3 linked regions of the Mus musculus genome follow. The protein of the gene in region 1 purifies or fractionates together with the protein of each later gene. This does not show direct contact. Links are inferred from orthologs where the notes say so. Each region holds a gene or a part of one and is shown on either strand. Other genes may lie near its edges.

Region 1 (3,757 bases):
ACCCTGTCTCAGGGGAAAAAAAAATGGAAATGCATCTTGGAGATGCTAAGAAAGTTTCTTTTAAGATGCCTTTCTTATTTTCTTTTAGGGTGATGGGGTGGAGCCCAGGCATTGCCTAGATGCTAAACAAGTACTTTAACACTATTAGTTAGACACTCAATCCACACATAAGATATACTTTTGATTGGAGCCAAGTGTTGATGGTTATTCATCTAAGTGTATGCCAGCCAAACTTGGTTGTCTTTGCTGTTGACCATACTGGGTTCCACCTACTGGGTGTACAGGCTGGCTAATCTTGTTTGTCTTTGTTTTGACTAGCAACAACACTTGATTGAGCTTATCCGTCAGCGTGAGACAGAAGCAGCATTGGAGTTTGCCCAGACACAACTGGCAGAGCAGGGTGAGGAAAGCCGAGAATGCCTCACAGAGATGGAGCGCACACTGGCCTTGCTGGCCTTCGATAGCCCTGAGGAGTCGCCTTTTGGAGACCTCCTTCACATGATGCAGAGGCAAAAGGTAAAGGGCCAGTAAAGGAAGAACAGAGTGCTTAGACACTCAGAGGACTTGTGAAAAGATGGTACTGTGCTGCGCTTGTGTTGGGGTGAAGCACATGGCTCTGGGCCAGGATACTCCAGTAGAACACTGGCAGCTCCACTGATCTGTCCCCTTTTACCTTGTGAGAGGAAGAGCAGCGCCATTGTGACTGTTAGTGTCTAAAACCCTTTGCCACTTTTTCTTCTCTTAACCTTTTTCCTATCAGTTTAGAGACAGGTATCTGAAGTATTTTCAGAGTAAAATCAGTATAGTCTCCTGAAATGTTTTCTTTTTCCTTCCACATGCTACAAGCATGATAGTTCACTGCTTCCTAAGACCCATGTCTTCCTTTCCCCCTATGTTGGATCCGTTGAAAATCTTGTTGAGGTGTCTCTTTAAAGCTTGTCTGCAGGGTCTCATATAAGCATTGTGAAGCTCCTCTCTGTCAGAGTCCTCACAGAACTGTTGAGGGGAGTCAGGGTACTTAGCCACCCTAAGTCATTTAGTGCCCTTGGAGTGGCTTTTAGTTACTTGTTTCATTTGTTTTTAAGTGACTAACAAGCATCTTGGATGAGAACAGTATCTAGATGGACTGGACTATATAGCTTAGAGATAGAGTGCTTGCCTAACCTGCTTAAGAACCTGGGGTCTCGCCCTAGCACTGGGGGAAAAAAAGATGTCTTAAGCATATTGTCAGGCTTGCTGATAGTGTATGTATGTGGGGGGGGGGGGGGCATCTCTATTAGATGTGTTTCTTTTCTAGGTATGGAGTGAAGTTAACCAGGCTGTTCTGGATTATGAGAATCGAGAGTCCACACCCAAGCTGGCAAAATTACTGAAACTGCTACTTTGGGCTCAGAATGAGCTAGACCAGAAGAAAGTAAAATATCCCAAAATGACAGACCTCAGCAAAGGTGTGATTGAGGAGCCCAAGTAGAGCCTGTGCATGGACCCAGCACTGTCAATAGGCACAGGACTCTCCCTCCTCCGGCTGTGACTGGCAGATTGTCACCACAGTAGAGAACCTTTCCCCTGTACTTTTCTTTGGCCCCATTGTTTAAAAGGGGAAAATGGCCTTTTTAAACCCTGTCAAGCCCATGATGGAAGACACCACCTCTGCCATGCCCTGTATCCCGAGAGCTGCACACACTGCTTCCAGATTGCTGGTTCCAGAAGATGTAATTTGCCACTGTGTGCTGCACGGCTAGGGAGTGTCATCTCAGCTGAAGGCCTCACCCAAGACAGGCAGACAGACATGAACATTACTGATGTGCTTTTCCGACCTGCTATGTGCAGGCAGGCAGGGGTTATCTTCCTGGGTCTCACAGACTTTCATGGTTTTCCTTACCCCTTCTTTTCTTTTTCTTCCTCATTTTGTTCCTTCATAGGAAAAAAATGTATAAATTTGTAAATCTTAATTCAAAGATAACTTTTGTGTGGGTATTGAGTTTGGATCGGTTTTTTGTCTTGGTGTGGGCTGTGTGGCTTTTGGGAGGGGATGTGTGTGAGAGAGGTGAGGTTGTGGTGGTTTTTATTTTTTAAAATATATTTTTGGTGCTGTATGTGATGAGAGACTCATTCATAGTGGATCAATGAATAATCTCTTGTAGGTAACTTTATTTGAAAATAAAGATTTCCTTTTACTTCCAGAATAACCACAATGGCTTCTAAAAAGTTCTCATCTCACACAGCCCTTGTTTTGGGTGTCCTTTACCTTGCACAGGGGCAGCACCTTAACTCACAGCTGAAAGACTAATTGCCATGTGCCTAGGGAATGCCCTGCGTAATAAATAGCAAAGCAGCCTGGTGTTGATGGGATGACTGGCTGGCATTACCCAGCTGGATGTTCATGCTAGCCAGATTGAACTTAAGTCATTTCTTATCTCTTCCTTCAGTGTCAGCAGTGCTGTGTGTCCTGCTTCTCATCAGCCATTTTTTACCTGCTCAGTGGAAGGCAGAAAAGACATTACCTGTAGGGTATGGTATGCACATGTAGGTCGGTGCTCTGAGTGATGAGTGTATACATGTATTGTGCCTGACACCGGTGTGTTTGATTTTTGGCAGTGGTCCAGGCCTGATGGTGTCAGTGCTAAAGGCTGGGGTGGGGGTGCACAAACCTGCAAAGCCCTCAGACAGTTATCCATGGATGTGGATGGTGAAGATGATGTGGGTACTGTCCTTTGGTGGAAGTTCCTGCCTGTCTGACACTAGAGCCAGGAGTTCTGGTACTGGCCATTAAGAAACACTGTTCTTAGTAATTACTGAATTGGGATTGTTTCCCTTGTTCTTTTTTTTTTTTTTTTTTTTTTTTTTTTTGGTTTTCTGAGACAGGGTTTCTCTATATAGCCCTGGCTGTCCTGGAACTCACTCTGTAGACTAGGCTGGACTCGAACTCAGAAATCTGCCTGCCTCTGCCTCCTGAGTGCTAGGATTAAAGTTGTGCGCCACCACGCCCGGTTGTTTCGTTGTTCTTGAGCAATATTGACTAGCTAGGTCAGACTACATTTATTCAAAAGTTTTCTGGCACCTGAGCTGCTCAGATAACACAGCTGACCAGCTGTCTCTATCTTGTTCCCTACTTCAGTATTGTTCATTGGTATCTGTTTTTTACCCACAGGATTCTGTTCTTGTTGGGATGGAATGAAGTGTCTTCCAGCTCTCTGCTTCTACTGCAGAGGGCAGGTACTTTGGCAGTATTTGCCTTAGGATCACATTAGTGACAGACTCAAGGATGAAGTTGTTGCTGTCATTATGACCCTGCACTGCTCTTCTGGTCTGTGAGTAAGGAGTGAGCAGAGCTTTCCTTACCTCCTGGACAGGTGGCTTTTTAACATCATTGTGAGATGTAACCTCCCATCTGGGGTAAGGATAAGAATAAGGTAGAGGAGTTTCAGGAGAGACGTGCCTTTGGTTAAGAAGACATGACAAATAATCATGAAGACCAGAGTCCGGCACCCAGAAAAGTCAGGCATCCCCCAAATTCCTGTCACTTCAGTTCCAAGGAATCTGATGTCCTCTTTGGCCTCCACATACACATAGGCAGGCAGGCACAAGAACACACACACACATACACACACGTCTTTTTTTAAGGCAGAGGAAAAGGAAGTTTTAATTTTCAGGTAGCTAATAGATTAAATGAAACAGAAGTTGGGAAGGAGTATCGAAGATTAAGTGTTTGTTTTTAAAGCACCATATAAAGCCAGGCATGGTGGCTCCTGCCTGC
Region 2 (4,198 bases), on another chromosome or scaffold:
CCATATGTAGTATATATGCACCTATGTGTACAGAGATAACTGTGTTTGTGCACCCGAGAGGCCAGAGGAGGACCCAGGGTAGCCTACTCTATCACTCTCTGCCTTGTTCCTTTTCTCGCTGAACCTAGAAGCTGGTACCCAGTTAGCCCCAGGGATCCTCCCGTCTCTACCCCACCAAGAGCAATGGGGTCACAAGTGCACCATACAAGACTGAAGACTGTCTATGTTAGCATTTGAACTCAGGTCCTCAAGCTTGTTCACAAACTCTCTCCAGCCGGTATGTGTCTATAAACAACTTAACACAAGCGCCTTTAACAGAATCCCCTCTAATCTCTACAAACCCTCAGACAAAAGCAGTCAAGAAAGCACACTGGGTGGAGAACTGTGGAGCAGGTCCTCTGGATTCAGCTCTGTCCTCACCTAGGTGGATGACCAGAGGCAAATTTGAACCTCTCATCCCTGTTTGCTCATCTGGAAAATGGAGATCTGAGGTCACAGGTGACAACACAGATCTCACAGCCCAGGCTGGCCTTACTTTACTATGTCGCCCAGGATGCCTTACACTTGTCATTCTCCTGCTTCTGCTTCCTAAGGGCTTGCATTACAGGCATCTCCATCCAGGCCCAACACCATGCCCAGTTTTTTGGGATTCTTTAGAAGACTGTTAAGGTTTAAATGAGCTAAAACACTTGAAGTATTCATAAAGATTAGCATGTGAAAGGCATAAGTAATTGCCATTTTTTGTAATTATTACCATCACCCCAAAATGCCTAGATTTCTATCAATAAATATTTGTTCTTTGCTGAACAATTTCAACAAATAGCTGGCTAGACCTTAAAAAAAAATCACACCTGCTTGAGACATTTCATAATACCTTCCACTGTTTCACCCCATTAGAGGTCATTTTAGGGGGCGGGGAAACCAATCTCTTTCTTAAACTTCCTGTCATACAAAGACGTATACTTGCTAACCTAAGTTCAGAACCAAGAATTTTACAACTAAGGCAGACACACACCAGCCTGCCTAACAAAGTTCTCAAACCCAAGCTTCCTAATGCTCATCTGCACTCCTTCACTCCGGACTGCTTAACTCTAAAGGGCTTTAAAATTAAAACTATACTATATGTTTGAAATGTCTTTGTGGTTAAACAAGATACACTAAGTGCAAGTACTAAGTGCAAATAAACTGTTTTCTCTGTGGCCTTAAGGAAGCTATAGCAATGGCTTCTTCCAGCTGCAGTCCAACTGGAACAGCAGGTGCTGTCCCCACTCCAAACTGGAGGCTGACTAAAACCACTATCCCACCAGATCAAGACTCCTTTTAGAAATGCCTCTCTCCTTAACATGCCCATACAACAGGTAATGCAACTGGGATTTGGGCTATCCCAGTCTCATGCCTACACCAGAAGGTAAAGCGATGGCAGACAACCTAAAGTGTAAGTTATCTAACCAAAGACCTGGGGGTGGAAAAAGTCATTCGAGGTAGTTAGTGACACACCACCAACTCTCTAACCTAGACACAAAAAAAAATGTTATCTTCAGATTCAAAGGAGTCAGTCAAAACAAACAACCTTAAAAAGGCCTCCAAAACAAACAACCACACACACACCTCCAAAAGAAAAAACTACCAAAAAAAAACAAAAACAAAAAACAAAAAAACAGAGGTTTACAGAATGAACAGCCACAAGTCCACTTCAAATGAAGGTCGGTGCTTATCCAGCTCACCCTCAAATTAAAAGCTGGGTTCCAATATCAATCAGAGATGTGGCCATGTACCAGCTATCAACAGGCCACAACCGGCCAGATCAGACCACAGGTCAGCCTTCATTGGGCGGGAGCTACAAGGCTTCAGTGCCAACCCTTGACCTGGTGACTAGGAGGAGGGCAGGTGGGCAGTCCGCGGAGGCTGACTCTTCACCCGCAGCTTCAACTTCCAGAGTCCTGACCGACTGGACTCGAGAAATCCAATCTGAACAAACGGGAGGAATTTTAAAAATACGAATGGAACACACTCCCTGTTCAGGACACTCCGGAGATGTAGCAATTTTATTCGAATAGCAACGGAAAACTGCACCCGTTCCTCGTTGTGTTCCTAAGGCCATTTCTGCTGACTTGGTGGTGCCCTCGGGCAAGCCGCACGCCCCCAGACCTGCCCTCCTTCCCTATCTTTTTCAGAACTTCCAGCCCCCCCCCCCGTCCAAAAAAAGCCAAGACACCCCTCTGCCAGTCCTCCAAGTTCTCGCCAGGGTGCGGATGGACTCCCCAACTTCTCTCGCCACTCGTGCAGAGCTAAGCACTTTTACTGCGGGCTCAGGAACTCCGGCGCTGTCCGAGCCGTCCGGGAAGGACCGGGCCCCCGTCGTCGCCCTGACCACCTCCGACGGCGGGGGAGGCTCGCCCGCGGCCCGGGCCCGGAGCCCCGCTCCGCTCCGCCTCACCTCCCGCTGCGCAAGCCCGCCTCGCCGCCGCCACCCGGAGCTCGCTCCCGGGCCCTCAGCCCGGCCTCGGCCCGCCAGGCCGGAGCACTCGGCCGCCGCACTGAGAAGCTCCGGAGGCCGCGCGTTCCCCGTCACAGGCCCCGCCTGGGCCTCTCTCGGCTCCGCTCCCCACACCGCACGCTCTGGCGGGCCGCGCTCTCACCGAGCGGCTCCGACAGCTCGAGCGCGGGGCCCCGCACTTACTCGGGAAGGTAGGTGGAGGAGAAGGAGCTCCACTTATGCAGCGCGTAGGGCAGAAGCCGGCACTCCGGCGCCACAGCAACAGCCCCGCCAGCCGCCATCTTGTCAGCACCGTAGCGGCCACCACCGAGCGCCAGCCCCGCCAGGAGGAGGGCGGGGACGGGGCCTGCTCTTAAAGGGGCCGCGCCGGGAACCCGACCGCGCAGGGCCGGCACTGGCTGCTTGGAGGCCGCTTCCTCGGGTTTCCCACGCTGTCCTTTCCTAGCTGACCCTCCCAGGGAGGCTTTCCTTTCCTGTGAGGCTGGCAGAGGAGTGGCACAGAGGACTTTTCATACAAGCTCAGGTAAAGACAAAGCCAAGGACATTTTGAAAAAAAAAAAAAAAAGAAAGAAACGTCTCCTAGAATAGGAAGGGAAAATTCGATGAGCTTGGGAAGGGAATATCTTTCCATCTTTCCTACTTTGGAAACCACTGCTCTAGCCTGTTTATAAATCCTCTCCGGAAACAGAGGTGAGGAGAATTGAAGTGCAATAATAACGTATGGCCTTTGTCTCTGCAGTTGACCTGGGGTAAAAATGTCCTTGTCACCGTGTTCAAGGGTCAGGTGGAGGCAAGATAAAGGAACAGCTAGTGTGTTCTGCTATCAGTCTGTAAACATTTCTTGTCGGCCTCTCTTACTAATATTCTGATGGCATCGTTGTACCCAGAAATGACATTCGCCCACATACCAGGAAGATGCTCAGAGTTGGAAAGTTGTGTGCCATCATTTGTCTCCGGCATTAAATCTGCTTGCTTTGAATTTTAACATAAATTTAGCCCAAATGTTTGGAAAGAGAGAGATGTTTGAGAAAAGATCGCGTCTTCTTCAGAAGGAATAATGAGTACACCCCACCCACCTCCAACATACATACTGTTCATGAAGCCTGACAGCAGGCATCATTCCAGCTTTTTATCACAAAAGGAACATCTGGCCTAAATAGGTGGCAAAGTTAGATAATGCTCCTGTCTAGTACCTGTTTGTCAGGGTTATAAATATGCCCTTGCTTACCTAGCGGCATCACCCAAAATCGTGTCACTCCCTGCCTAAGAGGTTGGACTCCTGGAAGTTTGGATTGCATCATTGTGTCAACCAGAGGATATTAAAAACTCAAGCAAAGAGTATCTCAATAAATGATCCAATAGTTTTACTCTTTTTGATTATGATCGTTAACCGGCCCATCAAATCTCTCCAATTCTTTATTGGCTTCGTTTCCATTGGTGAAATTTTAGCAGTAGCCTCTACTATGATACCACTAGCAATGTCAGCTAGACCACAAGTATACTCAGTGTTTAAGACTTTGTTGGGAATGAGTATGAGCCCTGAGGTAATGACCCCTGAGGTATTGACCCCTGAGGTAATGACCCCTGAGGTAATGACCCCTGAGGTAATGCTCTAACCCCACTGACTTCAGTTAGATAACTGCCTACCATGGAGGAAGTTAGTTACAGAGAAATTATCTTGGAGGGAAAGATTGTCTTCTA
Region 3 (4,444 bases), on another chromosome or scaffold:
GAAACCCTGTCTCGAAAAACCAAAAAAAAAGAAGAAGAAGAAGAAGAAGAAGAAAAAGAAAAAAAGAAACCCGCAATCAAATACCAAAGCATGTTTATCTTTATCTTCACTCAAAAGAAACAAGACTGCCTTAAGAACCTGACCTAATATCCGTATGTATTTCTTTCGTGTTTAACTACTTTTCATTACTTAATTCTAGTCAACTGATTAAAGGAAAATAACAGATGCCACAGAGGCATTGTTACACAGAAATGTTTAAAAAAAAAAAAAGAGGCTGCCAATCAAGAACAAGCCCCACTACCTGTTATAACAGCATGGTATATACACTGTGCCTACTACCCCTCACACCACAGGCTTTGTGAAACATTCCCTTACTAGCAAAGAGGCCTAAAATCCCTGACCTGGCAATTTTTACAATCATTTTAACCATCTGGAACTGACTGCAACTTCCCTAAAACAAACCTCACCACCACTTCTCCTCTTCCATAATCACTCTTCTGGAAAGGACTCTGTTCTCTATCTTTTCTCTCTCAAGCAACCCCTCAATCTCTGACCTGGTCCCCCAAAAGGGAGTATTCCTTCTGCCTCTCCAGGTGTAGGCCCTATGTTCATTCTCGTCCCCTACTGGCTTTCTCCTTTTCGGTCAAAAGACAAAGATGTCCTCTGGGAAAGGGGGGTGTTCGGTGTCTTTAAGCCCTGAGCTAGGACCACCTTGGATTGACTGCCTTCTACTTCGGTATGCACTATTTTTTTCTTAGCCTGAAATAATCTGGTTTGTCCACAAAATGTCAAGTACCAGCTAAGCAGCTCTCTTTTTATCCTTTTCTGCCCTTTTCATTTCTGCTCTACTTTGGTTGTGTTTAGAGCCTAAGATCTTTCATCTCACATCCTATGATCTCCACTGTCCTTCTAGAAATATCTGAAAACACAGAGGGGCACACTGGGAATCCCAACACTAGAAAGATGAAGACAAGATTATAAATTCAAAGCTGGCTTGGGCCACACAGAGAGATTTTACCTCAAAACACCACAAGCAAAAGAAAACAACCAATTTTAGCTCACATATATTCCAAGAATATCTATATCTATCCATATATGTGTGTATGTATATATGTAATATATATATATATATATTATATATACACCTCACATATATTCAAACCCTTTAATCTCATGAGTCAAAATTCAACAGATTTTCTCACACCCCACCTTATTCTGTTAGCATCAAGTATACCATCACCATCAATTCAGTCAAATAATCTTTTCGCATGAAGCCATCAACATGTTTTGCATATATTTATACAGCGTTCCAAAGTGACAGCTGTGTCAGAAGTTGTCAGACTCCTTTACCAGGGAGGAGCAGTCACCCACAACTGAAGTGTTTGGGAAATAAAGGTGTAGAGGAAAGGAGAGGAGAGGCAGGGCTAACACTGCCTTAATCTCACCTGCTACATCCTCATTTCTCCCTGACTAATAAATATCCCTTTAATTTCTGTTCAGCCCACAAAACTGACAAGGGCCCGGACTCTTGAGTAAATCCATAATATTACAAGTCCTTTATCTCTCATTCAGAAAGAGTCAGCATTGTGGCTCCAAGGTACCAGACCTTTAGTGTTATTTTTAAAACACAAAACTCTTTCTCAGAGTTAGCCTTGGCATCTGTGGTACAAGACGTAGGGCCACTGATGAAATAACGTAGGCAAAACACCTTCTACGGAAAAGCTGTTTTCTGAAAGGATTATTAACAAGTACAAACTGGACTAGGTAAGTAACTAGCAACTCGACATCTGCCCGGTCGGACTGTACAGAGGCTACAGCAGGGACGCTGAATGGTTTAAATCGGCCGGCTTCCTAGGAAGAGTTTAGAAGAACTGCCTGCCCACATCAGTCCAACTCTGAAGTTGCAGCAGCCGATGATGTAGAAACCAACCCACAGCTAAGAACGTTAAACTAAGAACCATCAGGGAGAAAAGTCTGCGAGGCCGAAAACTAGACAAAGTCCTGCGCAGACCCTCGTTATCACTCGCACACCTGCGGCCCGCAGGACCCCGCAAGACCCCCAGCCCCGCCCCAGGCCACCGCGTTTCCGGGCGGGTCGCCGCGGCCTGGGGACCAGCAGACGCAGCGCAGGGCCCCGACCCCCGCGCGCCCACGCGCCCGCCCTCACCGTGGCTCTGCAGGATCTCGTGCTTGAGGCCGCCGGTGTAGTCGATGAGCTCCTCCAGGCCCCGCTCGCACAGCTGCCCGTAGCCCGAGAACTTGTGCAGCACCTTCTCCAGCTCGCGCTCCACCGTCACGCACTGATCCATGCCGGAGACCGCGGCGCTCGGCTCCCCGGCGCCCGGGGGTCCGCAGTGGTTCGGCCCGGGCCCCACCGAGGCCGCGTCCTGCTCCTCCTCCCCCAAGGCGGCGAGCGGGCGGCGCGGGAGGCGAAGGCAAGACGGGCGCGCTAGCCGCGGCGCCGGGGGAGCCCCGCGCAGCCTGTGCCCTCCCGCCCCATGGCGCCCCGGCCCCGCCGCTCGCGCTCGCTCGCCCGCCCTACCCGGCGCCGCGTCTCGCCCCGGGCCCCCCTGGCTCGCCGCGTTCGGCCGCCCCTCGGCGGCGCCGCCGATTGTTTTTGTTTTCACGGGAACCGGCCGATGACCTGGTTCTCCCGGGCGGCACCAATAGCCGCGGCCCGGGAGGGGGTCGAGCCTCCCTCACGAGCGGAGGAGGCGGCGCGGGCCGTACCAATCGCGGACTCGGCGAGGGGTCAGGGGGAAGCAGCGGGCGAGCACGGGCGGAGGGCGCGCGGGCGTTCTGAAGGTGTGGGCCGTACCACGCGGGAGGCCGTGAGGGAGCGCGGCGAGGGCGGGGCGAGGGCGGGGCGAGCGACGCAATTGGCCCGCGCAGCTGAACAGGGAACTTTAGCGATAGCGTCAACTACGCGGCCGGTAAACAAGAGGGTGGAAACCGTCCCCGGATGCTCCGCCCAGAAGCAGAAGAGTGACCAATCGACGCGGGGGTTAGGAGCGAGACAAACATCCTCCAATCCTGGGCCGAGGCGTAAAACTTCAGCCAATCCAGACTGAGGAGCCAAACCAATGCGCTCGCTGTTGGAGGGGGGTTGGCTTGAAGAGCGGAGCTTGGCGCTTCTACTGGGAAGCCGCGAGGGGAAACATGACAGCAATTAACGGGGCTGTTTTCTCCAGGATTTCGCCCTGATTGCAATTTGTGTTTTCTCCGCATGGAATTTTGGCCGGAGTTTCGACTGAGAGGCCCACCTCCGGGGCCAAAGGATGTCTGTCTGGCCGCCTAGTGGCGGAGGGCCCGGGCGGGGTCACTAACCCGATGGAAGGTGGTAGCTCTTAGAGGGATGGCCCGCGCCCAGCGTTGGCTCGTTCTTGACGCCCCTCGGCCTGCAAGTGGCCTTCCCTGTCGCCTTGTCCACGTGCTGGGCATCTTGGCGGCGGTCACGAACACGCGTGGGCGAGCTGAGCAACCTGGCCCTTGCTCCTTGCCCTTACCTTGGCGTAGGGCTTTTGCCCTGGTTTACCACGGGGTTCTGGCCTTGGCCTGTGCCCTCTTGCTCACCAGGCTTCTACCCTACTAGCTTTTCGTCAAGTCCCTGCCTCACAGCCTGGGCCTGGGAGAGTCCGCCTTCCTGGGCCTGCAGTTGCCAGCTTGCTTGCCTGCTCATAGCATTCCTACTTCCACCATGGTTGTATCACCTCTGCCTCCCCGAATTTTCTCCATCAATTCATTGTATCTCTTACAGCACAATTTTTTTTTTCTCTCACACATCACTTGTCAAAGTCTAAAATAATAATTGTTTGGAGTTTTGCTTGTTTTGGTTGCACCACTTAAGTAATACTATGAAGGGTAACCCCTTTTGTTGTGGCCTGTTTGTTTCTAGAACACAGCCAGCACCCTGGTGGACAGTCTTTCTTTTCCTTTAATTCAGGTGGTAACCTTTTTAAAGTTCAATTTCCGTTTTTATAATGTGGCAGCTAGTGGGCGGGTGGTTATATATGATGGCCTTTAGTGGTCCTGGATATTTGGAAGTTCAGCTGATGGTATTTCAGGGCTCCTTTCTGTCCCTCATCACGCCATTTGCTTTTAGTCCTCTTTCTTGGCAGATGGCCCTGATTCCTACTTCTCGAAAATAAAAAACCTTTTAGCTCCATCAATCTTGCCATTCTCCTCAAAAGGTTTTCTAGCTACCATCCATTTTGTGAAAATACTCAGGCATCCAAAAGAAGAAAGGGCCCTCTTCCTTTGTAAAACAAGCCCGAGGGTGCCTGGCATCATCTTACTGCTGTCTAGAGCGTCCTTGCCTGGCTGTACTTTAGTTCTTCCTGCTTGGGGATGGAGTGGACCTGACTTAGCAACCTTCACTTGACCCCTCTGAAGCTGTTTCCTTCTTTAGCTGCCACACTGCACAGACAAACCTTGTTCTTCCCCT

What was found. The genes of interacting proteins can lie anywhere in the genome.
Region 2: the proteins of Gid8 (region 1) and Mkln1 purify together in Homo sapiens (affinity purification with mass spectrometry; 4 studies listed by BioGRID and IntAct, with this or other methods). This does not show direct contact. The link is inferred for Mus musculus from reciprocal best matches to the Homo sapiens genes GID8 and MKLN1.
Region 3: the proteins of Gid8 (region 1) and Rmnd5a purify together in Homo sapiens (affinity purification with mass spectrometry; 5 studies listed by BioGRID and IntAct, counting the BioPlex papers as one, with this or other methods). This does not show direct contact. The link is inferred for Mus musculus from reciprocal best matches to the Homo sapiens genes GID8 and RMND5A.

Annotation. Positions count from the first base shown.
Region 1 is NC_000068.7:180,716,541-180,720,297, forward strand, and holds part of Gid8 (glucose-induced degradation protein 8 homolog), read left to right. Parts: intron 1-318; coding exon 319-516; intron 517-1,297; coding exon 1,298-1,471; 3' UTR 1,472-3,757. UniProt on the Homo sapiens protein: Core component of the CTLH E3 ubiquitin-protein ligase complex that selectively accepts ubiquitin from UBE2H and mediates ubiquitination and subsequent proteasomal degradation of the transcription factor HBP1.
Region 2 is NC_000072.6:31,397,437-31,401,634, reverse strand, and holds the start of Mkln1 (muskelin), read right to left. Parts: upstream 2,808-4,198; 5' UTR 2,779-2,807; coding exon 2,681-2,778; exon of another isoform or gene 2,438-2,680; intron 1-2,437. UniProt on the Homo sapiens protein: Component of the CTLH E3 ubiquitin-protein ligase complex that selectively accepts ubiquitin from UBE2H and mediates ubiquitination and subsequent proteasomal degradation of the transcription factor HBP1.
Region 3 is NC_000072.6:71,437,831-71,442,274, forward strand, and holds the start of Rmnd5a (E3 ubiquitin-protein ligase RMND5A), read right to left. Parts: upstream 2,808-4,444; 5' UTR 2,310-2,807; coding exon 2,168-2,309; intron 1-2,167.